Arabidopsis thaliana: one gene and its partners. The protein of the gene in region 2 purifies or fractionates together with the protein of the main gene of each other region. This does not show direct contact. Each region holds a gene or a part of one and is shown on either strand. Other genes may lie near its edges. The genes, in order: PUM5, AT1G52380, NADP-ME1 and AT1G13630.

Evidence for each region.
Region 1: the proteins of AT1G52380 (region 2) and PUM5 purify together in Arabidopsis thaliana (affinity purification with mass spectrometry, with the first as the bait; one large-scale study listed by BioGRID). This does not show direct contact.
Region 3: the proteins of AT1G52380 (region 2) and NADP-ME1 purify together in Arabidopsis thaliana (affinity purification with mass spectrometry, with the first as the bait; one large-scale study listed by BioGRID). This does not show direct contact.
Region 4: the proteins of AT1G52380 (region 2) and AT1G13630 purify together in Arabidopsis thaliana (affinity purification with mass spectrometry, with the first as the bait; one large-scale study listed by BioGRID). This does not show direct contact.

What each region holds. Positions count from the first base shown.
Region 1 is NC_003074.8:7,058,370-7,065,233, forward strand, and holds PUM5 (pumilio 5), read right to left. Parts: upstream 5,004-6,864; 5' UTR 4,794-5,003; exon of another isoform or gene 4,509-4,793; intron 4,345-4,508; 5' UTR 4,292-4,344; coding exon 3,695-4,291; intron 3,608-3,694; coding exon 2,331-3,607; intron 2,214-2,330; coding exon 2,072-2,213; intron 1,994-2,071; coding exon 1,886-1,993; intron 1,785-1,885; coding exon 1,572-1,784; intron 1,490-1,571; coding exon 1,379-1,489; intron 1,286-1,378; coding exon 1,091-1,285; intron 1,020-1,090; coding exon 848-1,019; intron 764-847; coding exon 729-763; 3' UTR 502-728; downstream 1-501. Other genes in the region: AT3G20240 (Mitochondrial substrate carrier family protein), read left to right, coding at 1-5, 91-347; AT3G20260 (DUF1666 family protein (DUF1666)), read right to left, coding at 5,821-6,066, 6,143-6,357, 6,446-6,862.
Region 2 is NC_003070.9:19,506,974-19,512,144, reverse strand, and holds AT1G52380 (NUP50 (Nucleoporin 50 kDa) protein), read right to left. Parts: upstream 3,194-5,171; 5' UTR 3,040-3,193; exon of another isoform or gene 2,208-3,039; 5' UTR 2,167-2,207; coding exon 844-2,166; 3' UTR 504-843; downstream 1-503. Other genes in the region: AT1G52390 (uncharacterized protein), read left to right, coding at 1-96, 148-177; AT1G52370 (Ribosomal protein L22p/L17e family protein), read right to left, coding at 3,446-3,732, 3,858-3,924, 4,052-4,162, 4,269-4,421, 4,696-4,763, 4,970-5,093.
Region 3 is NC_003071.7:8,591,272-8,597,513, forward strand, and holds NADP-ME1 (NADP-malic enzyme 1), read right to left. Parts: upstream 4,289-6,242; 5' UTR 4,133-4,288; coding exon 4,011-4,132; intron 3,930-4,010; coding exon 3,809-3,929; intron 3,733-3,808; exon of another isoform or gene 3,707-3,732; coding exon 3,632-3,706; intron 3,550-3,631; coding exon 3,398-3,549; intron 3,295-3,397; coding exon 3,189-3,294; intron 3,101-3,188; coding exon 3,035-3,100; intron 2,960-3,034; coding exon 2,864-2,959; intron 2,776-2,863; coding exon 2,704-2,775; intron 2,605-2,703; coding exon 2,521-2,604; intron 2,441-2,520; coding exon 2,342-2,440; intron 2,263-2,341; coding exon 2,215-2,262; intron 2,140-2,214; coding exon 2,086-2,139; intron 2,010-2,085; coding exon 1,911-2,009; intron 1,827-1,910; coding exon 1,737-1,826; intron 1,638-1,736; coding exon 1,560-1,637; intron 1,476-1,559; coding exon 1,401-1,475; intron 1,310-1,400; coding exon 1,219-1,309; intron 1,133-1,218; coding exon 1,004-1,132; intron 924-1,003; coding exon 835-923; and 2 more. Other genes in the region: AT2G19910 (RNA-dependent RNA polymerase family protein), read right to left, coding at 4,549-4,782, 4,913-5,082, 5,177-5,484, 5,567-5,715, 5,798-6,023, 6,169-6,242.
Region 4 is NC_003070.9:4,668,911-4,674,679, forward strand, and holds AT1G13630 (Tetratricopeptide repeat (TPR)-like superfamily protein), read right to left. Parts: upstream 4,164-5,769; 5' UTR 4,019-4,163; coding exon 3,574-4,018; coding exon of another isoform or gene 3,570-3,573; exon of another isoform or gene 3,480-3,569; coding exon of another isoform or gene 3,449-3,479; coding exon 1,398-3,448; coding exon of another isoform or gene 1,313-1,397; intron 1,226-1,312; 3' UTR 1,141-1,225; intron 943-1,140; coding exon of another isoform or gene 874-942; 3' UTR 515-873; downstream 1-514. Other genes in the region: RGF2 (root meristem growth factor-like protein), read left to right, coding at 112-315; AT1G13635 (DNA glycosylase superfamily protein), read left to right, coding at 5,338-5,710.

The DNA of each region.
Region 1 (6,864 bases), on a different chromosome or scaffold from region 2:
AGCTGGTAAGTAATTGAAGAAACCACTCCCTTTACAGTATTTCCTTACTTAAATCATGTTTAAGACTCATTGAGTTGTGACTGGGGTCAGGTCTAACGGCGAGCACCATAAGCTTCCCCTTGGAAGTAGCGCGGAAGCGGTTGATGGTTGGAGCTCTGAAGGGAGAATGCCCACCAAACATGGCTGCAGCAATAGCAGAAGTAGTGAAGAAAGAAGGAGTGATGGGACTCTACAGAGGATGGGGAGCAAGTTGTTTGAAAGTCATGCCATCTTCAGGCATTACTTGGGTCTTCTATGAAGCCTGGAAAGATATTTTGCTTGCCGCCAACACCAAACCACTCATATAATGACGAAATTGTAACCTAAGTTATTATTGTTTCTTTAAAGCTAAAGCCTGTCATCACATTTCTAAGTTATGATTTAGGGAATGTGGTGGCTTGGACATGAGATGTTTTTTTGGCACCTGGGAGTGTTATGATTCCCATGAGAAGTAGAAGATGAGTTTTTTTTAATTCTTGAGGCTAATTCTCTGTGTTCTTCTCGTCAAAACAAAGAAGTAAGAAGCAAATCAAATTATTAATCACAGATCATGTCCACACCATATACATATTGTAATACCATCACACTTCCATTCATAGATACAAGCATATATACATAAGCATTTTCAAATACATATTTGTCTAAGTCAAACATTGTACAAATCTGCAACCCAAAAGAAAATCTTCTGTCTAACCTTCTGTTCCCTCTTCTGAGACTTCACTCTCTGTAACAATAACATATTAGAACGTTCAGATTTCTTTAGCAGAGTCATATTGACAACTCAAGTTTTAGTTTTAGAGAAAAGTACCTTCACCAAACAGTTGTTCGAATCGGGCTACTATGTGTTTCCCGTATGTGTATTTCCGCAAACTTTGGAGATGAATTTTCATCCTCTGCACCAGAATCTCCCTTTGCTGATCTTTACTGATCTCCAAGACTTTCTGGACCACGTAATTTGCAAACTGATCCTTCATCATCGCCTGCAGAACAAAAGAGTGTTAAAATAAGTCCAGGAGGATTCAAAGAGCTATCTTTAGGATTTTGTTCTTACTAGCAAGTGATTGTCTTCCTCGGATTTGCCCATTATCTCTTCAATCAGGAACTCTCTTTCGGTACTATCAGCGTGTTCCAAACACTTCTCTACAACGTTAGATGCGTATTTGTGCTGACTCATCTGAACAACATTCCCTGTCAACTTCTCAATGATCTGTCTCCTTTCATCGGGCTTCCCTCTCTCCAGGACATGCTACAAGAAAAACATAAGCCAAAGCACAATATTAAGAACAAAAAGATTTCAAGACAATTCCAAGAGGGACAATGGATCCGAGATTAACCAGACCTGAGTGACATAATTCCCATACTGATCATGAGCAAGAGCAAACGCAGATTCCAATATTTCATCTATTATACAATGAGTCTCCTCATCATCTGAGCAATGCTCCAAGATTCTCTATAACAAAGCAGACAGGAAAATAATGAATATTTCAAGTTCAGAGTACAAGAGGAGACAGAGCTCGCTCTTTTCCAATTACCTGGATAACTCGGCATCCATAAGGATGAGTAGAAAGAGTGGCGACTTGACCACGGAAAGCAGCAATTACGAATCCAATCCTACCAGCAGGCATACTCTCGATACATTTTTGGATAACATGATTTCCGTTTTGATCTCTAACACACTTCAGCACATTCCCATCGAGCTCACGAATTAGTTCTGTCTTTTGGTCAACATCTATCACTTCAAGGGCCTATAAATATCATAAGGTACAAACAAGCACATGGAAACTTAACTACAATTTACTTCAAGATACTGACATTGATATAAGGAAAGTAAAATTAATAAATTTACCTTTTGTATCACACGGCATCCATACATTTGTAAGCTTAGTGAAACCATCTGACCAGCAAGTTGCTTCACAAGTTCTTCTCTCTGTGCCGGAGTTCCATGTTCTATGAACTGATTCAAAAATCACAATGTATTTTATGGACAAGATCTTTTCAGCTTAGAAAAAAAGAAGAAGAAAAAGTGGCTCACTTTTTGGATGACATAATTTCCAAAAACGTCAGTCATCAATTTTGAAGCTTGTGGAAGAACCTCACTGAAAACAGATGCCTTCTCCTCATCGGAGCAGTGCTCCAACTTCTGTTGAATAAACCGGCTGCCATGCTGATCGACGCTGAAGTTCAGAAAAATGAGTAGTAAATTAAGATTACTATGACATCATTTCTTTTGAACCTTTCAAAACACTACTTCAGAATTAAAGAAAATGATAGATTCGGAGCAGAAACACTGCCTGAATTCAACAACACGCCCTGCAATATCAGAAAGCTCGAGTTTCCGAGCATTTGGAGACTTAAGTTCATCAAGAAAAGAATGTCTTTTTAGATCATCAACGATGCTGCTGGCTCCCCCTCTGTTCCCTTGCCATCCACCAGGGTAGATCCCAGTGTTTCTACTTGGCCCTTGTTGATGATACCTTGTTTCACTTCGTCTTCCAAAGTGGCTCATCATTCCACCAACCGGTGAGGATGGCATCACCGGACTAGCAAGAGGTGATCCTGGATACTGCGGCATTACTCTTACACCAGGCGGCACTGCAAAATAGTTTCCCATGTGCCGCGGACTTTGCAACCCGTAACCCGGACTCAATGGACTGTTGAGAGGTTCATGATTTGCCATATAGCCAACAGCTTGTTGGTCTTTCTGCCCAAAAGAATCAGTGCTGCTCTGAAACGGAGGAGCATACGCGTCCACTTGAGCCTGTTGAAAATATTGCAACTGAAAAGGATCCACAAGAGAAGGAATGTTTTGTCCACTCGATGATACTCCAGGCAGGAGCCGAGGGTTGTTGTAGCCCGAAGAAGTAGATGAGATATCATATGGCATAGGAACAGTCGCTTCATGAGATGGGTATCCACTCATATATTGAGGGACAATACCAGAAGCAGGAGGGTAACCACCATAATTATATTGCGGGACGAACATACCCGAGGACTGAAAGTTTTGATGGTAAAATGGACTCAGAGATGTCATATATGCTGCTGTTGATGTATACATAGGAGGCGGTGCCAAACCGTGAGGAGATTGGAAAGTCGAATGTACCTCGCCAGTTGCAATCTTTGGTAAGCTCTGCATCATGTCCTGTGTACCACCTATCCTCGGATAGCTCATTTGCTGTGGCGAACTAGCTTGAACCTGATACGATGAAGGTGTGTATTGTGGAGGCATTCTCCTTCCCTGAGATTGTTGGTCTTCTTGGTTCCTCCTCATTCTTGAAGCAACAGAGGATGGAGGAGAAGCACCAAAAACAGATAGATTGTTGTCCTCATGGCTCGCTTGCCTCGCGTTCAATCTCTCTGTCTGTGCATTAGTAAAACTTTGTGAGGCCAAATCAGTGGTAAAGGGATCTTCACTAGCAATAGCATCGCTGGAGAGAGAATCTGTCTCCCTCAGCAGATTAACCGAATTTATATCGGACTCCGGTAATCTTCTTGCGTGTTCTGAAGATGTATCAGAGGAAATGGCATGGATGTCTTGTGCTATTGGACGATTTCCTGCCGAATGAGGCCGCTTGAACACAGAAGAAAGTGTAAGAGGGAAATCTTCCTTTATGTAAAATGAATTAATATTTTAGTAATAAAATAAGGAACCATGTACCTGAATCATATCAGCTATGCTCTTACGACGACCAGCCAAAGAAGCATAAGATTGTTGTTCACCCGATGATGCCTCATCCTCGGGCTCCTCTCTATGAGTTGAAAGAGCAGTTCTAGAAGAATGCAAAGATGATCTTATCCCCATATTATCCCAAGAAGTTGTTGGACTCTGATTATTATCACCAAAATGACGCAACAAGTGCTGATTCTCCCGTGAGATTAACGGAGGAGGGAGTCTCGGATTCAAGTTGATGTTCGACAAATAGTAAGCTACATAAGCAGGATCACTACGTATCTCTTCTTCCGAGTCATAATTCTCAATAGCCCTACTTAAAACTTCAGAGCTACTACCTTCTTGTTGTTTCAAGAGATTCCTAAGAGCTGCAAAGGAACCTTCCATGCTAGGCGGCGCGCTTTCGCTTCTACTAGGGAATTTACCGGTTTGATCACCACTATCCAACCTATTTCTTTTCATAAGGAATCCTAAATCTTCAACAGCCATATCAAGTGAACCAAAGATCCCACTATCACTAGAAGCCTGCCAATTTTTTATATGATCACCCTCAACCATTCTCATAGCGCTCTGCGTAGTCGTCATACTTCTATTATAATCAAGTTTCTATATATCATACAAAGTAAATTTCACAACACCTGACACATAGAGCAAAACCTTAGTCCATAAGAGAACAAAAAGCTAAGAACTTTAAGATATGGTCCCAAATTTCATTAATCACAAGAACAAAAAAACAAGTAATCGACAAGACATGAACGAAATCTACATATCAAGGATCGAAATTTCAGACTAAGATTTTTACCATTTCCTGAAGCTAAAAAATTCAGTCAACTCAATAATCAGGAAAAACAACAACAAGATCATCAAAAGACGCCATCTTTATAAAAGCACACGAAACCGTTGAACTCATTCATTAACCTCTTCACAAACAGAGAATCATATCCTGAAGCTATAATCAGAGATCAAAATTAAACAAAAGACTTAAACTTTATCATTTTCTATTCATAAACTAGTTCCTTGCATGACTTGTAGAAGAAAAAAAAGTAGATACAGAGAGGAAGAGGGAAGAAGAGGCAGAGTTAAGTACCTGATGGTGATATTCAAGCTTCCATGAAAGTGTTTTCTCAAAGAGCTTGAAATAAAATGTTTGAAGAGAGAAGAGACCCAGAGAAAAAGAGAGATAGAGAAATTAAAACTAAACCCTTTGAAAAGTTTGCTTCAAGGGGCTTCGTCGAGTCACCAAGTCAAGACTAATCTTAACACTTTTTTGTTTCTCGGCAATTATTGTAAGGTTTTAGTCTTTAATTTAATACACAAAATTTTATTTAAAGAGTTTTTCGATATCGCATTTTTAACAACATTACAATATTCAGCATCACGACGGATTCGCACACGAAGAGGTCGTCGTCTCCTTATAATGACTAAACTACCCCTCAGCATGTTCTTTAACGGTGGTGGTGAAGCAAGCCCTTTTTGGTCATTCAAGCTTTGGCTCCAAATTGGTGACTAGGTTTGCCACGTGTTGACACTTCTAGTTGAAAGAGATACGTTCACGTGGCATTGTCTCTGTTGCCTGTTACTACGCCACCACCAAAACACACTTTAAGTTTTTTGTTTTTGTTTCTTCTTCTTTTTGGATTAAGAAATTCTAATTGTTTGTTTTAAGAACCTGAACACTGTTCAACAGTTTTATAGTTATAGTTCTTAGGATTTTTGTTAAATAGGAAAGTGTGGAAAAGAAATAAAAAGACTTTGGCCAAAAACAATGAAAGTGATAGAAGAATAAGACTTTTCTATCACCATCATGATCATGATCATGGATTTAGTTTCCCATCAACAAGACAACATTGGATTCTTTCATATGTGCTAAATCCAAACGACAACAATGAAAATGGTCCCTTAATAGTGAATCTATGACCAAACCAAGTGTGTTCTTGGAATTGGACTCTTATTGCCAAGAGAATGAATGAAAGCAAATGGAACAACACACACAATTTCTTCTTTGATTTGTCTGCAAAAGAAAAATCCCCAAACCGGATCTTAAAGATCGTATAAAAAGGGAACAGTTGATGCTACAGTATTTGAAATCATTGTGTGTTCATCACTTTATTATATCAACAAGGGAAAAGAATTGGAGATGGGTGTCTTTGAAGCTTCCCAGCTGAAAAGTTGAGCTTTTTCATCTTTTCTTCACACCATAGAAGTTGCTCTTTACTGATTTTCGACATCCTCAAAACCCGTGTTGCGAGTTTGATGTCAATGGCTGCAAACAAGAGTTGAACACCTTCCCATGTTTGAGGCCATGATTTCTTTCTCAGCCCTTTTGTCTTCTTTGAAAGCTCCTTTGCTTTCACCCTTTTCTGCAAAAGTTCCTCTCTTATGAGACACCAAAGAAGCATACGATAGTAATAACATTTGAGTACAGAGAAATCGTACCTTATCAATGGATGACTGAACCAGTAGTAAAGGAGTTGTAGAATTCACATGGTTGTTGTTGTGGTTCCCAAACAAGTGAATACCCCCATTTGGTTTCTTCTTATCCATTTTCAAGAAGACGTTGAAAGTAAGGATCGAGCTCTCTATGACTTTGATGAGATCATCAGCGAGGACCATGAAGCCTGTATCTTTCTCCATCTCCTTTTTATCTGACCCTGATATGTTTTGAACATAACCAACTTCAAGTGTTACTACTACACATAAGGTTTTAAGTCGCGCAATGTATGAGAGCTGAGAAATCACCTTGAATCTTAGGAGCTTGAAGTAGCTTAGGCATTGCATTTCTAGCACGAGCATAAAGTTCCGATCTTGAGCCTTGCTCAAACGGTTCATTCTCTATATACCTCTGCAACAAGACTAGGAATTGCTGAAACAGTTGGGCAGTATGGTTGTAGCAAGTCGGGGTTTCGGGTTGGCATGAGATTAAGTGGCTCAGCTGCGTGTATTGACAGTGAAGTGCCTCCCAAGTGAGGCAGAGTTGAGCAACATAGGCCGTCTCTAGATCTTGATAAGGGTCGTCAACTTCTGTCGGCTGCAAATGCTCGATATCTTCCTCCGGAACATCAAACTTTTTGAGAGAAAGACATCGGAAAGGCGATGACAGCTTCTTAGATGCAGATCTTGGCGATGGAGTTGAAGGACTTGGAGCAATTCCAATGCCT
Region 2 (5,171 bases):
TTCTGGCCATTTCTTCAAGGTTTGAGATATAGAGGTTTCAAACTTTTTGCAACAATCCCTGATAGGACTTTACCTGATGATGAATGTCTGACGGCGGTAATGTGTGCTAAGTACATAGTGTCTTGGAAACACCTTTCACTGTGTAAGGGCATAGAAGATACTGGTTCTGATGACTAACCTCTGTGCGCAGCAGGTCTCAACTACCCCCTGGTTTGGCAACAATGTTTCATCATTCTATGTAACTCTCAAAACATTGACCTTTCATCTTTCTTCTGTTAAACTTTTGCTGTTTTATTCGTGTTTCACTTCTATTTTCAGGCTCTGCTTTTCCCAACTACTAACCTCTTTAATCAAAACACTCTAGCAACATAACTACAGTACTAACACATGTCAAATTTTCTCAGTAACCCAAACCCACCAACTTTGTACTCTGTGAATCTTAGATCAATTTTATACCGATCTTTATAAACCCAGCTTTACAAATCCAGATTAATTGACAACACGATTAATCTACGATTTGAAGAACACATCTTAAGCCCTTAAAATCTCAGGACCAATTTGAAACCTATCTGGTCCAGTCACATTCATATGGTGGAACATAAAAAGAAATCAAGGATGCAGATTTAAGTCATATATGGTTTCCTTCTACAAACAGAAACATGTAACCAAAAAGTCTCAACAACTGTGTAAAAAAAACAACAAACTTCTCCAAATATTTTAGTTTTCCTCTGCCTCAAAATTCAACTACTTGGAAGTAACAAGACAAGACAAAAGACAAGAGAGACGAGAGAGACGAGAGAAGTGTTTCTACATGTTTTTTCTTTTTTTCTTTTTACCTTTTCTTCAAGTATCTGTAGCTGTTGGAGAGTTCTCAGGTGTCTTCAGAGGAAGAGCTGATTTTTCTGCTGCTTTCTCCATTGGTTTACTATCTTTGTGTTTGTCAATGGCTACACGAAACTCTTCAACAATTGTCGGGTCTTTGAACTTCAGTGCAAATGTAGAGAGACCTTCTTTGCCTTCGCTTACACTATTCACACAAGCGAATGTGATTCCCTTTTTATCCATGTTTGCAAGTTTCATCTCTGGGTAAAGACTCGCGTTTAAGATCAATCTGTAGTTTCCTTTAGCTCTCATAACTAATCTTGCTTTACCATCATTACTGGAGACGTTTACCTTGAGTTCTCCTTTTCCACGCTCTTTCCATCCTCCATCAAGATATTCGAACATGATCGAGTCAGCTGAGAAGGCAACTTTCTCATTCTCTTCACCTGTTTCTGTGGAAACCTCTTGCTTTGGCGGAAACCCACTACCTTCACTCTTCTTGATAATGGACGATCCAGTTGCACCGAATATAGAAGAGCTATTGCTGCTTGGAAGGCCAAAGCCAAAGAGAGACCCAGTACCAGTTGAACCATCCTGAGAAACCAAACCAAATGAGAACGAAGACCCTGAAGCCTCTGTACTGGCAAGTCCGGTGAATGCGTTTTTGTTACTTGAATGCTGTTGGAATGAGCTGAAAGCACCATTATCGCCATTCTTATCTGCTTCCTCAATTCCGTTGCCTTCTTTTTCTTTTTTCTCAGCCTGATCACCTCCTGAATCCTTCTCAAGAGGAAAATCAGTTTGGTCTGTTCCTTCAACAGCGTTGTTGCAAACGTTTGTGTCACATGAGACCATCTGAGCTACTTCTGTAGCCGCAACTTGGACATCAGCACTCTTTCCACAATGATTATCATCCTTATCTTTAGTCTTTTCAGTCTCTTCCCCAACAGCATCTTTGACATCAACCTTCTTACTGTCAACTTCATCGCCCTCCTCAATATCACTTGCTTTTTGATTGTCCTCAACTACTGCTTCAGCTGGAGCCAATTTTGACTCAGCCAGAGGTGCATTTGTTCCCACAGGGGTTGAAGCAGGTGCAGTCGTAGGGACCAACTGAATTCCAGCAAATGGATTGGATGCTGCAACTGGAGCAGCAGATGGCTCTTTGCGCTTAACTCTGACAATTCTTCTACTAGCCAAAACCTCATCACTGGCCTTCTTGAAAGTTCCACTCTCAAGTTCAGCTGAATCATCATCATCATCAAGACCTGGATTATCACGAGACAGCTGCTTCAAGGCACCTCTCTTTTTTGAAGGTTGCTGAACGTTTTCCGAGTCACCCATTTGAATTGTTATGAGAGAATGTCAACACACTTGTCAAATACCTAATAAAAAAACACAGACAAACAAAGAAAGTCCAATGAAACAATACCCTTCAAAGATAATAACAGATAAAAATCCAATTTTTGAAAACAGAGATAAAACATTACAATGCAAAACACCGTTCCAAAGGTAAAACACACACACCGGATCAGTTTGCAGCCACAGATGATGATGAGTAATGCCAAATCTAAGAAGACAAAAGCTTTAACATGACAATGCAATGGAAAGTGAAAACTACAGAGGCTGCTCGTTACCTTATGCAAATATCCAGAAAGCCTTAAAATGTATTCAAAGAAGACAGCTAATTATATGTTAACACTCCAAGGTAAGGAACAGAAGAAGTAGGGCTAAACTTAGATATAAGAAATGCAAATACAGTGACTTATAAATCTAAAACCAATGAAAAATTCAACATCAGTGACTTTGTTATTATCCTCAAATCTATAAACCTAGATGAAAAGAGATTTTAAATCGGAGGAAACAAAAACCCAAATTCGATTTTAGGAACCTATCAAATTTAAGAGAAACTCCTGTTAGCTGCAACAATCGAGTAAACCCCAAAGCATCTTCAGAAATTATTCGATGAGTGAAGAAAAAATCTGAAACTCGATCTCAACACGAGTTAAATACCAAAAACCCTAATCATCAAAGCAACTATCAAGAACCAAAATAAAAGAAATGACCGGAAACTATTTCCAGAACAAACAAGAGCATGACAAAACCCTAGAATCAAAGTAGCTAACCCTGAGACAAACCATTTCCGATAAACCCGATAATGAAGAAACCTAAGATTCGAAGAAAGTGACCGGTGACGAGAAAATGGCAAGGACTTACCGTAGCAGGAGCCGGAGCCGCAGCAGTAGCAGAGAGGGAAAAAACTAACGCCGGAGCCAAAGTGGTCAGAGACGAAGAGAGAAAGCAAAAGAGGTTTATAGAGGAAAAAACATCCAGCTCTGTATCTCTCTCTCTTTCTCAACTTTTTTATTTTTATCGACATTTGTGTGTGACTTCAATTATTTTATTTTATTATGCACAAAAGGTCACATTGAAAAATATGTTATTCGTGTTAATTATGTTTACAAGATTACAGTTTTCTTCGATTCATATAAATTGAAAAATGACTTTTCTTTTGGTTCCTGTCTCTGGCAACATATCTATTGAATGGAATAGTAACCAATTACCGATACAAACAAGTACCATAAAAGAGAAGCTCTCGTTACAGTTGCCGGAACAATGATACTTAGTGAGACGGTACCAACTCAGATGACCTGTGATTGCCTTTGGTACCTCTGCGGTTCCAGATTGGACTTGTCTCGATCAACTTGTGTGGTACCAGCTGTCTCTGCCGCTTGTTTAGCTTCTTAAAATTGTGAACTTTCAGCCTTGCAATCTCAGCTTCTTCCTCTGCAGTCGTCTCTCTGACTATGACTGTTAGACGACACCTGGGTATTGATATTATCCCGCTTCTTCCTTTTGCATGGTAAGCTACCTTCTTCCCAAAGAGTCCCTTCCCAACAAACGCTTCCGCTGCATCACACATATCAAAAGAACTTAGATGAATTATACATCCTTCTCTGACATATATCATGTTTCCTTCTTTAGTGTTGCAAAACAAGTCAGTCACAGATCCGGTAGATCAGTAGTATACATACCAACAAGGAGACGGTCAGGATCTAGTCCATGGTTATGAGTAGCATTTGCCCGCGCAGCATGTATAACCTACATTATGAGACCAAGTTGTATGCTAAGTATCATTAGATGAGGAAATGTATCAAATGCCTCGAGAGGAGAGTAGACCAGACACTCTAAAAGTGATTTGTTTCTGAACTCGAATCTCAGAGATTACCCGGTACACAGTTTGTGAAGCTCGTTTGACCGTGACCTGCAATTGCATCAAAGCATCTTCAACACGCATGCCACGGACTAGTGCTGCAACCAAGTTGACCTTCTTAGGACTCTGCAATAAGTAAGGTTTGGGCACATTATATAGCGCATATAACAAATCAAGATGTATACATATCATCTAAAATGTAAAACTGTACTAGGAGTTAGAGAGAACACACCTGCTTTATGGACTTGAGGACAGCCTGAACTTTCTGACGCTTTGGGATAATCTTCTGCTCTTCTTCTTTTCCACTACCCAGCAGAGCTGGAGATGACAAAGGTGATGATACAGGCTCCTCACCCGCCTGCAATTGTCTTGAGGTAGAAATTCCCTGAAAACATACAGATTTAGATCAGAGAAGAATGAAGCAGCATACCCATAGATAACATAGTTCTCCACAGATGAATGGTTTCAGGAGATGTGTCTTTTCGCATAATTCAGATAGATAACAGATGTAGTCATTCCACTAGCACATTTAATCACTTCCCCTATCCCACTAACAACAATTTTGCTATATTAAATTACTAAAGCAAATTTATCAAAGAGGAAACGAGAAACTCCAGTCTCAATAGAAAACAAAAGAAACATCGATTCAGAAGCATTACCAGTTGTTGTAGATGATAATACAGTGGTCTTGAGGAATAGGTTGATCTCAAGAGACTCTGCAAATAACCTAGTTCAACAGCAAAAATTGAAAAAAAAAAAAAATCATCACCCACTCAACTCAAACACACAAACACTATATTAAAACAAAAATCCAAGATAACACCTGACATTTTGAAATTTCACTAAGAACACAATAGATTCAGAAATGATTTAACATTATCTAAACCGAAATGATCAAAACTAAACAGCTTCAAATGGTATAATATTCACCACCTTGTGAGAAAGGGGATTCCAAATTCCGTGTGGAAGAGTAATTTGCCGTGGAAATGTGACTGTCCTTAACTCTTTTACCAACTTGACGAATAACAATCTGTAAATTCTTCTGCCAACCCGCCATTATATTCTACCCTAAACCTTAGTCTATGCTTCTTCTGCAGAAGATGGTAAAAAAACAATCTTGAACAAAATAAGTAGA
Region 3 (6,242 bases), on a different chromosome or scaffold from region 2:
AGAAGAAGAAAATTCAAAGATTCTCATCAAAGCTAAAATTGGAATCTCGCCATGATTTCTTTGGGCGAAGTTTGAGACATGTTGATAGATCAAGTTTTCTGGTGATTTTGGTCGGATTGAAGATTCCCGACGACACACAATTTTGCCAATGAACGGAAACTCCTATCTCTTCCACTTCCCACGTGTCTAGAAGCCTGGTTACCATTGGATACGTGTTTCATGTGCTGTCTACAACAAGCTTTCCTTCAATTTAGGGTTTCTGTTGGGCTTTTCTTTTAATTTAGTGTTATTGCCTGTTAATTTTGGCTTTATATTATTTGGCCTTGTATAAATAAATAAAACACAGTTGTGACAAAAAAAATAAAAAAATTCAAAACAACATATCTTGAAGGGATCTAGGAAAATGTACTAACTAGAGTTAAGAAAGTCATCTTAGCTAGTGCCAAAAGTATGGGATAAAAGCAAAATTGTGAGAGAAAGACCACACACGGATAGACTAATATATTCATTATTACACTCACTAATAAATTGACGTACAATATTGAAAATTGGTAAGTCTACAAGGAAAAACCACTCATGTTTACCCGTCAAACTAGCGATGTAAATTTTGCACTCTTTTGCCAAATATATAACATTTTCATCGTTTTCTATTAAACAAATTCACTTCATATAGTCTTTAACTTTCAGAGTTGCAAAGTTAAATGAGAGATCTTGGCATGTGTTTGAAATCTCAACTTGAAAGACTAATTTAATACTGGAAATTACAGAAAGACATGGGAATAACTGAACAAAGGATGAGAAGCACACAAAGTATAGACTCTTGAGTTTCAACTTTCAACGGTAGAGACGGTATGTGGGGCTGTACATGCTACTCTCTGCACATTTGACAATATCTTTCGGCCGTGGAAGCCGCCCTGCCAATCCTGCAAAACCAGCATTTCCACCATCAATATTCAAAACCACAATATAAGGCTGACTGCGCGAGAGAGAGAGAGAGACCGACCTAGTTCATACGCCTTAGTTGCTACATTGGCTGCAATCTGAGCTGATATTTTCCGGATGGAAGAGAATGAAGGATATATCATTCCTTTCTCATAGTTCTCTTTGCTTACTTGTCCAGCTAATGCCTCAGCTATGACGCAGAAACACATCATAATATTAGTAAACAACAAAGCTGAGAGAGCCTTTTACTTGTTTTTACATTTCGTAGATGCTTACCAGCAGCTAGAAGCATATCGTCATGTACCCGTATTGCTCCAGAGATAACCAAACCAAGTCCAAAGCCCGGGAATATGTACGCATTGTTCGCCTGTGTTTTAAGTAAAGCATAGATTTTTTTCTTAACCTAGTTCCGTAAACCTCAACGGATGAAGAGAAGAGAAACTATCTGTGACTACTACCTGTGTAGATACAAACACCTTTCCTTCATACTCAACTGGATCAAAAGGGCTTCCACTAGCAAAAATGGCACGGCCCTTCATTCGAAGAAGATCAGAAAACTTCATTTCTATCTGAAGGGAATACATATTGGAACAATGGTGCGGTGTGGAGAGACTTACCTTACTCCAAGTATAAGCTTCTTCGGCTGTACATTCAGATTGTGTTGTGGGGTTAGAGAGAGCCATTATCAGTGGTCTCTGCAAGAAACATATTGTTGGTTTCACTACCTCTTTAACCAAAACCATGCTTTAATAATTAATATGATCACTCATTCACTTGATAGGGATAGTAAATACCTCATTAATGGAGGACATGGCTTCTATCACTTCTTTTGTAAAAGACCGTCCAACGCCAGAAGATCCAATCAGAACAGTCGGTTTTATTGCCTGATGAGACATAATACTTAAGAGGAAAGAAGACAGATCTGAGATATAAGAGGACCATGACGCTTAACAGGAGAAATTTCAAACCTTGATAGCACCTAAGAGGTCTTTGACTGGTTCATGTTCATGAGCCCATGGTTTCTTAAAGTCTTGAAGTGAATCTTTGCGGGAGTTAACAATCAATCCCTATCAGAAAACAAAACTTGCATCAAAATGGTAGTTCCAATGAAATGTCTTATGTACAGTTTTGTATTCCTTCTACCTTGGAATCAACAAGCCAGATTTTCTTGCGGCTTTCCTCTACCGAAGCATTCATCTGCAGAAGAAAGATGTAATAAGTTGACAGCTACTCTCAAATTTCCTCTTATGTACAGTTTTGTATTCCTTCTACCTGTTTTGACATATAGAGAGCTATGAGTTCTGCTATTCCAGTTCCAGCCTGCAACAACCAAACAAGAAGACATAAGAAAACATTGAGTATAAAGGATGATACTGTGATTCCAAAAATTGATTCTTACTTCACCAGCACCAAGAAAGAGGAAGGTATGCTCTGCAAGTGGGCTATTCGTTAACTTCTGTGCGGAAACTAATCCTGCTAAAACAACTGATGCTGTCCCCTGAAATTGAAAGGCAAAGACAAAATTCTTTGGTACTATGAAGACAAAAAGAAACATAAAAAGAGGTCTTAAACTGTTACCTGTATATCATCGTTGAAGACGAGATGAGTATCGCTGTATTTTGCAAGCAACTCAAAGGCATTATGATTAGCAAAATCTTCAAACTGTATCAAATGAAAGATAACAATCCACATAAAAGAGCTTCAGTAATATTTTACTGAATCCTTCAATTATAGATCAAGAACTATGAATTCATTTCTTACCTGAATAAGAACTTTTTCACCATAGTTCTGTTTCACAGCACTCATGAATTCATTCAAGAGTTCACTATATTCCTGCAATAATGTTTAAACCTACTCATTCGTGGAAGTTCATATGATCATGTTTTAAGTTCTTAATAGAGTAGACTATACAAGAACAAACCTGTCCCGTTGCTCTCTTTTGCCTGAGTCCTATGTAGAACTCATCATTCAACAGTTTCTCATTGTTTGTTCCCACATCAATGGTGACAGGTAAACACTGCCAAAAGCAATATAGTCTCAAGTTCCTGACTCAGAAATATTGTTTAAAACCGTAGGACAACTAAACCATTACCGCTGAAGGACGAACACCTCCAAGTGCTGAATATAACGCCAACTTACCAACCGGTATACCCATCCCCTAAAGAGAGACAAACTCAGGCAAACAAACAATCAAAGTCATATTGTGATCACATCAAATCTGAAATGAAGCGATATCCGAGGAATACCTGACATCCAAGATCTCCTAATCCTAAAATCCTTTCACCGTCAGTAACAACAATAACCTGTATGTTCCTTTCAGGCCAGTTCTTTAACACATCTAGAATCTTTCCCCTGTTATGAATAAAATGGTTATGACATATGAGTAAAGCTAAAAGAGGGGGGGGGGGGGGGAGGGAATTGAAAATAATAAGATACAGTTACAAGCAATATATACTTGTCTTTTAAACTGATGAATAAACCCTGAGGTCGCCTGAAAATACTTCCAAATTTCTGACAAGCTTCACCAACAGTTGGAGTATAAACAATAGGAAGTAGCTCCTCAACATTATCTATCAATAGCTTGTAAAACAGTCTCTCGTTTCTTTCCTGTTTCAAGTCCAATAACAGATTCATTTTTCTCTGAAATACTAAACAGAAAATTTGTAGATTATATAGACAAGATTTTCACCTGAAGTTCTGTCAGAGCCATGTACTTTTGTAATGGGAATTGATATTGTCGGATATTGTTCAACAGCCTCTTCTCCTAAATCATTTGAAATCCCAAAAAAACCATTGACACAAGTTTTTTATGTATCTATATCCATTAGCGCAACCATACAGAATAACCAAATCACCAAGTTTTTACCTGAAGCTTTTGATCAAGAACAACTGGAGGGAGAAGACCACGCAAGTAATGAGTGTCTCTCTCTTTCTCAGTGAAAGCAAGTCCTTTGTTGTAGCGAGGATCTCTCAGCAATGAATATCCACTGAAACAAGAAACAGAGTTACTAACTTGAGTGTTAATTTAAACACTTAGTTATATTACCACGGAGAAGTTATGTTGCTACCTAGAAACAGAGAGAGACCAAGGAGTTATGTTGTGCTCAATGGTGGCTGAATCTTCTCCATACACATCAACAACGCCACCATCAACAGAGGATTTCAAGTCTGAGTTGGTCACTTTCTCCATCTTGAAAGGATCAATGAAAACAATCCCAAAAACAAAAAGCGAAAAGAAGTAGATTTTTCTAGGATCACAAAGGAAGAAACTTAATGGAAAGAAGAAAGGTCTGGAAAAGACAAATGGAAGCTTGAGGATGCAGAGAGGTGTCACACTGAAGAAGACAGCTTTGTACACCAAATGGACTCTGAAAGTGCCACGTACAATTAATTGAAATTAAATATAAGCATTAGTTTTCTTTATTTATTCCATAAGCAAACATACACACGGAATTACTTGTACACTAGATGACAAATCTTAAGTTATAACTTAAACAAAGGAAGTACACCACATAGCTTCGCCTATAAGTTCGGTTACCTAGGTCAGATACTTGTCTAACGCATCTTATGATACATGAAGACAACAAACAGGACAAGTAAGTCTGTTCAACCCAAAAGCTTTTTAAGCACAGACGTTGAAGCCACTACTGATTTATCCTTCGTTTTCTTAAGGTAAAATTTGCACAGGACCGGTCCTGCAACATTCCAGGCAAATGTACATTTCGCAACACCTTCCTGAATGGCATAATCGTAAACGACGTTGTAGAGTGCCAAGGCTTGGGGGTAGAGTTCTTCCAGACTTTTATTGCTGTCTTCAAACCCTGCAGCGCCATAGAAATCCTGATACAGACAGAAGAAACCGTTCAACCGATGAGTTGTGTTAAGAAGCATTATATGGACTAATCAACAAAAAATGTGATTCATGAAATCTATTGGTCAGATCTTTGCATTGGATTGAGCGAGAGCTTACCTGCTTGTACCTCTGGATAACTTCATTGGTTAATTGATTCCTCTTAACCTTATCAGTTTCCATCATCGCTTGGGACATTTCACTTCGGTAATTCTCGTACCAGGATGTAAATTTATCCATGTGAGACTTAGGGACCGGTTCATCTTCAAAATACCAGAGTTTACTGATTTCTGAATTGAAACATACAATATAGACGTTAATACATATTCGAGATGATGAGTTCTTGTGTACTCTGATTATTGATAGAAACTAGAAGATCCGTACCAGATGGTGGGGGTTCCTCTGCATTATGAGAATCCACAGTGTCAAAGATTAATCCAAGAATAGAAGTGGACCTGAAATCTCTCTTAGGGTCACGCTCCATGTAATGTGGAAAATTTTTGATCTCTAGATCGGGCGGGAGATCAACCTTAGCCCCCTTTTTTGGTGCATCAAGAGCATCATAGTATATATCAATCAACTTAAGAATATTCTTCTTCCTTTCATATTTTTCCTTAGCACTCTCATCTCCTAAGGTGAGGAAAGGGTCCATTATTCCTAGCCAGCAATCTGCAGCCATCCCTATAACGTCTCTGTAAACCGTGAAAACAAGGCATATGTTAACTAAACGAACTATTGTGAGCTTGAAAGTAAGCCGACAGTTAAATTATGTACCTCTTACAAAATCTTGCTTTTAAGAACATTTTGAATAGCTCTTCTTCCAACTCTTCTTCTGATAGTTCACTTGGCTTTCTTCCACAGTAAATTTTACTAGGTTTAGAAGAACTCACCCATGGTTCACTTGGCTTGAAGTGTTCCAGTAGCTAAATAGACGAATTCCGGTTCACAGGTCAGGTCTCAGCAATGAAGAGTTTATTTTCAAATGTGATGGATATAGCAGAGTACCTTGGGATTTCTGGATATGAAATACATATCGCCATCAAAGTCACCACCAGCAATCTCATCGCCCAAGGATCTTGGACCTTTCTGAGGGAAGAACACAGCAAACTTGGCATTTCCAACATAGTCTTCTAAGGCCTTAACATAGGTAGCCTTAAGTACATGTATGTCTCCAAAATGTAATCCAGGATTTCTGTAAACTAACACATCCCCGGAAATTTGGCCAGAATGGCTACAAAACCATGAAAAGAAAGCAGTGAAAATGAGCAGCTACTTGTAGGGAAGAACTCATAATTCCAAGGAAGCTAATCACTGTTTTTTGATGATTACATGCAAAACTCAAAGCGAAAGAGAAAGAGAAGAATTTGCTAGCCTACAGGATGACACAGATTTCATTTTCCTTAAGCTCCCCGGTGGGATCCACTGTGCCCATGATATAGTATGATTCGTC
Region 4 (5,769 bases), about 15 Mb from region 2:
AATTTCCACATCATTCACAACTGCGAATTTCACATAGCGGTTGCATTCAGTTTGAAATTTCGACATGCATGTATATAATCTAAAGAGGTTGATGATAACCATGTAAAGCAGGTTATGAAGCATCTTGATGGTGATGATGCAATGAAGAAGGCGCAAGTACGAGGAAGAAGTGGACAAGAGTTTAGCAAGGAAACGACAAAGATGATGATGAAGAAGACAACAAAGAAAGAGACAAATGTTGAGGAAGAGGATGATCTCGTTGCCTACACTGCTGATTACTGGAAACCAAGGCACCATCCTCCCAAAAACAACTGATCACATCTATCATATTTATATAGAGACTCAACAAAATGCTCCTCATTATTATCATATCAATATAAGATATATATCAAAATACATATAGTATATGGAGTATTGTGAGCTTTGTGTTTGTAAAATCGATCGTTCAAATTATATATATGAAAAAGTGGTATGTATAACCAAATTGTGTTGTCTCAGTTATAAAAAGTGGTATGTATAATTACCAAGCTGTGTTGTCTCAATGTTATCCTTCTCTTAAGTTAATTATGTGCTGATCTTACATTAGTGTTGGGAATAGGTACAAAAGAATGTTTCAGACAGACAAGATATGCTCTGGAATGAGTAAGAACAACAAACTATCAAGAAGTTACAGTAAAAAATCTGGCGATATCTGGTCGAAAAATGGAAAAGCTTTTTGGTTACAAAAATGGATTATGTATTTCACCCGTCTTGGTTTGTAGTTGAATGAGCCCAGAATCCTAGGATCCCTCACGCAAAGCTGAACTTACCATTTTGTCCACTTCCGTCAAATACTCTTATTTACGACCAAGCAGGTTATAACTGGAGTTGTTGTCACTGGCCGGACCCTTTTGATTCCCCCGTCCGTTTTTGACCAAGCTGTGACTTCATCTTCAGAAGAACCTGAAGAAAGTAAATTCAGTCTTAGACTCAAGCAGCAAAACGACCTAGACACTTGAGAGGGTTTGGGTTGAGGAAACTAAAAACTTGACAGAAGTAAAAGTCCCTTGTTCCATATTTCCAATCTAACCAAAAGGCCTCATACGTTCACATTATCGAGTTCAAAGGTTAGTATGAAAATGGTAAAGAAACATCACTTACCGCAATTCGTCAAAGTCGTCAATGTGATACAACTGTTGCCCGATGATACCATCCAGTAGCTAAGATTAATCTGTTAACTGAATCACTGAGAAAGACAATAAAGCATCAGATAAATCCATTACGTAACTTATTTAGTTTCTTTATGCAGTAAAAGTATACTAATAACAGTTACCTCATGAGACAGTTTCTCTACTGAAAGTGTGTGCCTTCTGCAGTTAGCAGATAAGATGGGACAATAGACAAAACTTCTCTCATTACTAATCAGGCAACAAACCCCATTTGATTGTCCAGGAAAGCAATTCATCTGACTTGATCATCACTTCACAAATGTCTAAGTCAGGCGAAATACCCTGGGATAACATTAGACAGAAGAAGAATTTGCTCTCGTTTACCAAATGTCTCCTACACAAACGGTTGATCACCGCGCTATAGTCCCTAATGGAAACATTGAATCCTCTGTGCAGCAGTTGATGAAATAGCTTCACTGCCATTTCAGGGTCACCCTTTACACAATGTGCCTTGATCAGTGTGGTATAAGCAAATTTGGACAAACTAACATTCTGCTCCTGGAGCGAATAGATAAAACTGTCAGCTTTCCTTATGTAACCGTAGACACAAAGGCTGTCGATTAGAATATTATAAGTAGCAGATGAAGCATCAAGATTTCGAGATTTCATTATTTCGAGAAACACAAATGCTCCAGATAAATGTTTAACTCTGCATAGATACTGAATAATTGTATTATATGTGATCTGATCTGGAGGTATACCTTCAGATTCCATGTCCCTGAGTCCCTGCTTGCATTTTTCGAATATCCTTTCCCTGAGTACATGGTTGCAATTTTCATGTTTCCAGCCTCTGCAAAGTCCTTTAAAAATCACTGAGTACGTGACATTGGTTGGTGGGATTCCTTCTGCTTTCATTTCCCTGCGCAATTCATCTATGCTTTTGGTATTTCCACAATTTGCATATGCATCCATCAGAGTTGTATAACTCACAACACTTGGAGCCAATCCATATAACTTGATGACATCTAAGATTTTTCTAGCCTCAGCTATATTCTGGGTTTTGCAATACCCGTATATCAAAGAATTAAAAGTTGCAACGCTAGGAGTTATCCCAGTCTCAATGACTACTTTGAATAACTCTAACGCCTCCTCAATGCAACCAGACTTTGCATACCCGTCAATTACGATATTGTACAGAACAATATCCAGTGTCTCTCCACTTGAAATCAGAGAATCCAAAAGCGATCTTGCCTCAAGTAACATCCCTTTCTGACATAAACCGAGCAAAAGAGCACCATGAGTCCTCGAATTCGGAAGAATTCTTTTGTCACACATCTCGTCGTAAAGCCAAAGAGCCATATCAAATTTTCCTAACTTGCAGAGGCCATGAATCACAATAGAATATGCTACAAGATCAGGGCTCAGACCATCGGCTTTCATTTGATTGAATAACGACAAAGCTTCATCTATTCTTCCTGTTTTACATAAACCACTGAGCATTACACTGCATGGGATGATACTGTTTAACTCAAATCCCCTCGACAACATATCCTTCAGCAATACTAAACCCATGTCAATATTTCCTAACTGACATTGTCCACATAGTAAAATTGTGTATGTAATAACATCAGGACTCAATCCTTTATCCAACATATCTCGAATTACCTCCCAAGCCCCACTGATCATACCGAGAAGATGAAACCCTTTCGCAAGAATATTGTATGTCACAGAATCAGGTTCCACTCCATGCTTATTCATGTCACTAGCCAACTCTAAAGCTTCTGCGATAGAACCAACTAGACAGAGTCCATTGATGAGTATATTGTGACTATATACACTAGGAACCAACCCACATTTCAAAACTGTACAGAAAAACGACTTCGCCATATCTACAAAACCCAATTTACAGTAACCTGACATTATACTATTGAAAGAAACTACAGAGGGACCAATATCCTTCCACTCTGAAGTTCGAAGGAACAAAACTGCATCCTCTAGCTTTTGTTGCCTACACAAACCATCTACAACTGTTGAGTACGTGTGCTCGTTCTTATCCTTGATTTCCTTGTACACATCCCACATCTTATCCGTCTCTCTAAAATGATACAAAACGGAGTTGTACGACTGTGTCGACACATTCAAGTTCTGATCCTTCATCTTTTTCAAGATATAAAGAGAATCATCAACCATTCTCAATCTTGATGAAAGAAACAACAACATATCCCAAACTAATCCCGTAGACTCCCACTTTCTGAAGCTATTAGAGAGAAGTTCACAAAGCCTAGAAGCTGAACCAGAGCCTAAACATTGAAAATTGATACAACAAATCATATTCCACCCCAACAAATATCTTAACCAAACCTAACAAACTCTAAAACTGTAAGCTTTCAATAAAATTGCAGACAAAAGAAAAGAGAAGACGTGCCTTCTTCTTGAAGCAATTGTTCCAGAATCACTTGAAGCTCTTTGAAACGTCTTTGACCAGCTAAAACATGTGAAACCAACAATGTGGAAAAACTCGAATGACGAAACGCATAGATATCTCTCAGCTCTTTGAAAAACCAAACAGAAAGATCTGAGCTTTCAGACATCAATTCATCCATGATTTCTTCGACATGAACATGCCTCAATTCCGAAACCAAACCTCGAAAGTGATACCCGTGAAGAAACTCGCGGAACCCAATCTTCTTCATCCCAAAGAGAATCTCTTTATAGAAGCCTCTGTGATCGGAAGTGGAATTGGTTGTGGGTAATGACTCATCGTCCATTTTCGCGACGGAGAAGGAGGATTTAGTGAATAAGAGAGAAGAGAAAGGAGAGAGAGAACGAGACACTTTGCTTGAATTGAATGCAATCCATCTACAGATCATGGAATTTTGGGATTAGGGTTTTTCAATTGGGGGATTCTGGAGATGCCCTTGTCGTTTTTCAGAGAAAATTAAGCGAATTTGAGGTTCGCCGGAGAGAATTAAGGTTTTCTTTTCCCGGCAAGTTTGAAGAACAGCCGGAGGAGATAAAAAAGGGTTTTAAGATAATTGGGTTTATGATTTAAACCCTAATTTCGGTTAATCACTAACCGAATCAATTTTATATTCCGATTCAACTTTTATGACGGTTTACAAAAATTAGAAAGTGAGAGTCAAATTAGGTAGTATGTCAATATGATGATGTTAAAATAATTTACATCTATTCATGGTTCTCTTTGTGAAGAGTATTGGTGAAATAATGAGAAAAAATGAAGATAATTTTAAAAAAAAAAGAGTATTGGTGAAACAAAATAAATGAAATAAATTAAAATAAATAATTTAAAAATAAAACAAATTTTATTTTAATTGAATTAGTGTAAATAGACTAAAACTATTTAATTGATATATGATGATGTTATAAAAAGTTTACATGCATTTTAACAAAGTAACAAATACGTAGTAAGAAAAAGTATATATTATACATAAAAAAAAGGATGAGAGTTCTTTGTCGAAAATAGGCAAAACGTTCATTTCTCTTAAACATGAGAGCATGCAGCAGCAAAGAGTAGAAGCTAAGAATAATCTGGTTTATAATTATTTAATTCACCGTAACCATATCAATAATCATATTTTCCACTGAAGAAAGATGTGTTGAGTGCGAACTAGACTAGTGTGGTTTTTTTAATCTAATGGCAGATATCAATTTGTTTTTTCCACTTACTTTAACGTGACAAAATTCAGAAAACTTATTGGAATATGAATGTTCAATGATGCAATAATACTCAAATTTAATTATACATATACCGATTAGTATTTCAAATCAAGTACACAAAGAAGAACTCCAACAGATAAAGTTTTTAAAGTAAATTAGATTTAGAAAAGGTACTAAGATGGATCACTTCACCAATTTGGTTATTTGTCACCTTTCTTGATGCATGCATTAGATCTAAAACCAACTTAAGTAAATGCAAAAATTGTAGTATGTCTTTTTCAGCTATATATTTAAAATAAAATCTATATGAAATTTTGCCGTTTCTTTCGTCTATACATACCAATGAAGAAAATATTCAAATATGGTAAAATTTCACAGACTTGAAAATCCACATTTCACCAACTTAGGTGTAATTAGGCATTAACTTAAAAACTCCATTGTATGCTGCATTGCTCTCCTATAAGTACTTGTGTGTGGCTATTCTTTGTTTTGACTTACTCCAAAATCAAAGATGTATAAGGCAAGTCCTAAAAGAAAAGAGATTGTAGAGAAAAGCAAGAGTGTAAGAGAGAAGGAGATTAAACAAAACTCAAATTTCTTTGCCAAACACTTAAAGAGGATTTACCCAATCACGCTTCAACGAAGCACTTCTTCTTCATTTTCACTCTCTTCTATATCTCTATCACTCTCTCAGAACTCGACCGATTCTGTTTCCACGGATTCAAATTCGACGTTGGAACAAAAGATCTCTCTGGCACTCGGTTTAATCTCATCTCCCCACAGAAGAGAAATATTTGTTCCAAAAAGTATCCCACAACAACTATGTCAGGATTTCAATAGTAGTGATGAACCAAAGAGGTGCAACTGGATCACCAAGAAAAGTGGTAAGATCAAGATGTCCTACTCTAATATTATATATAGCTAAATGAAATTTATACAGGTT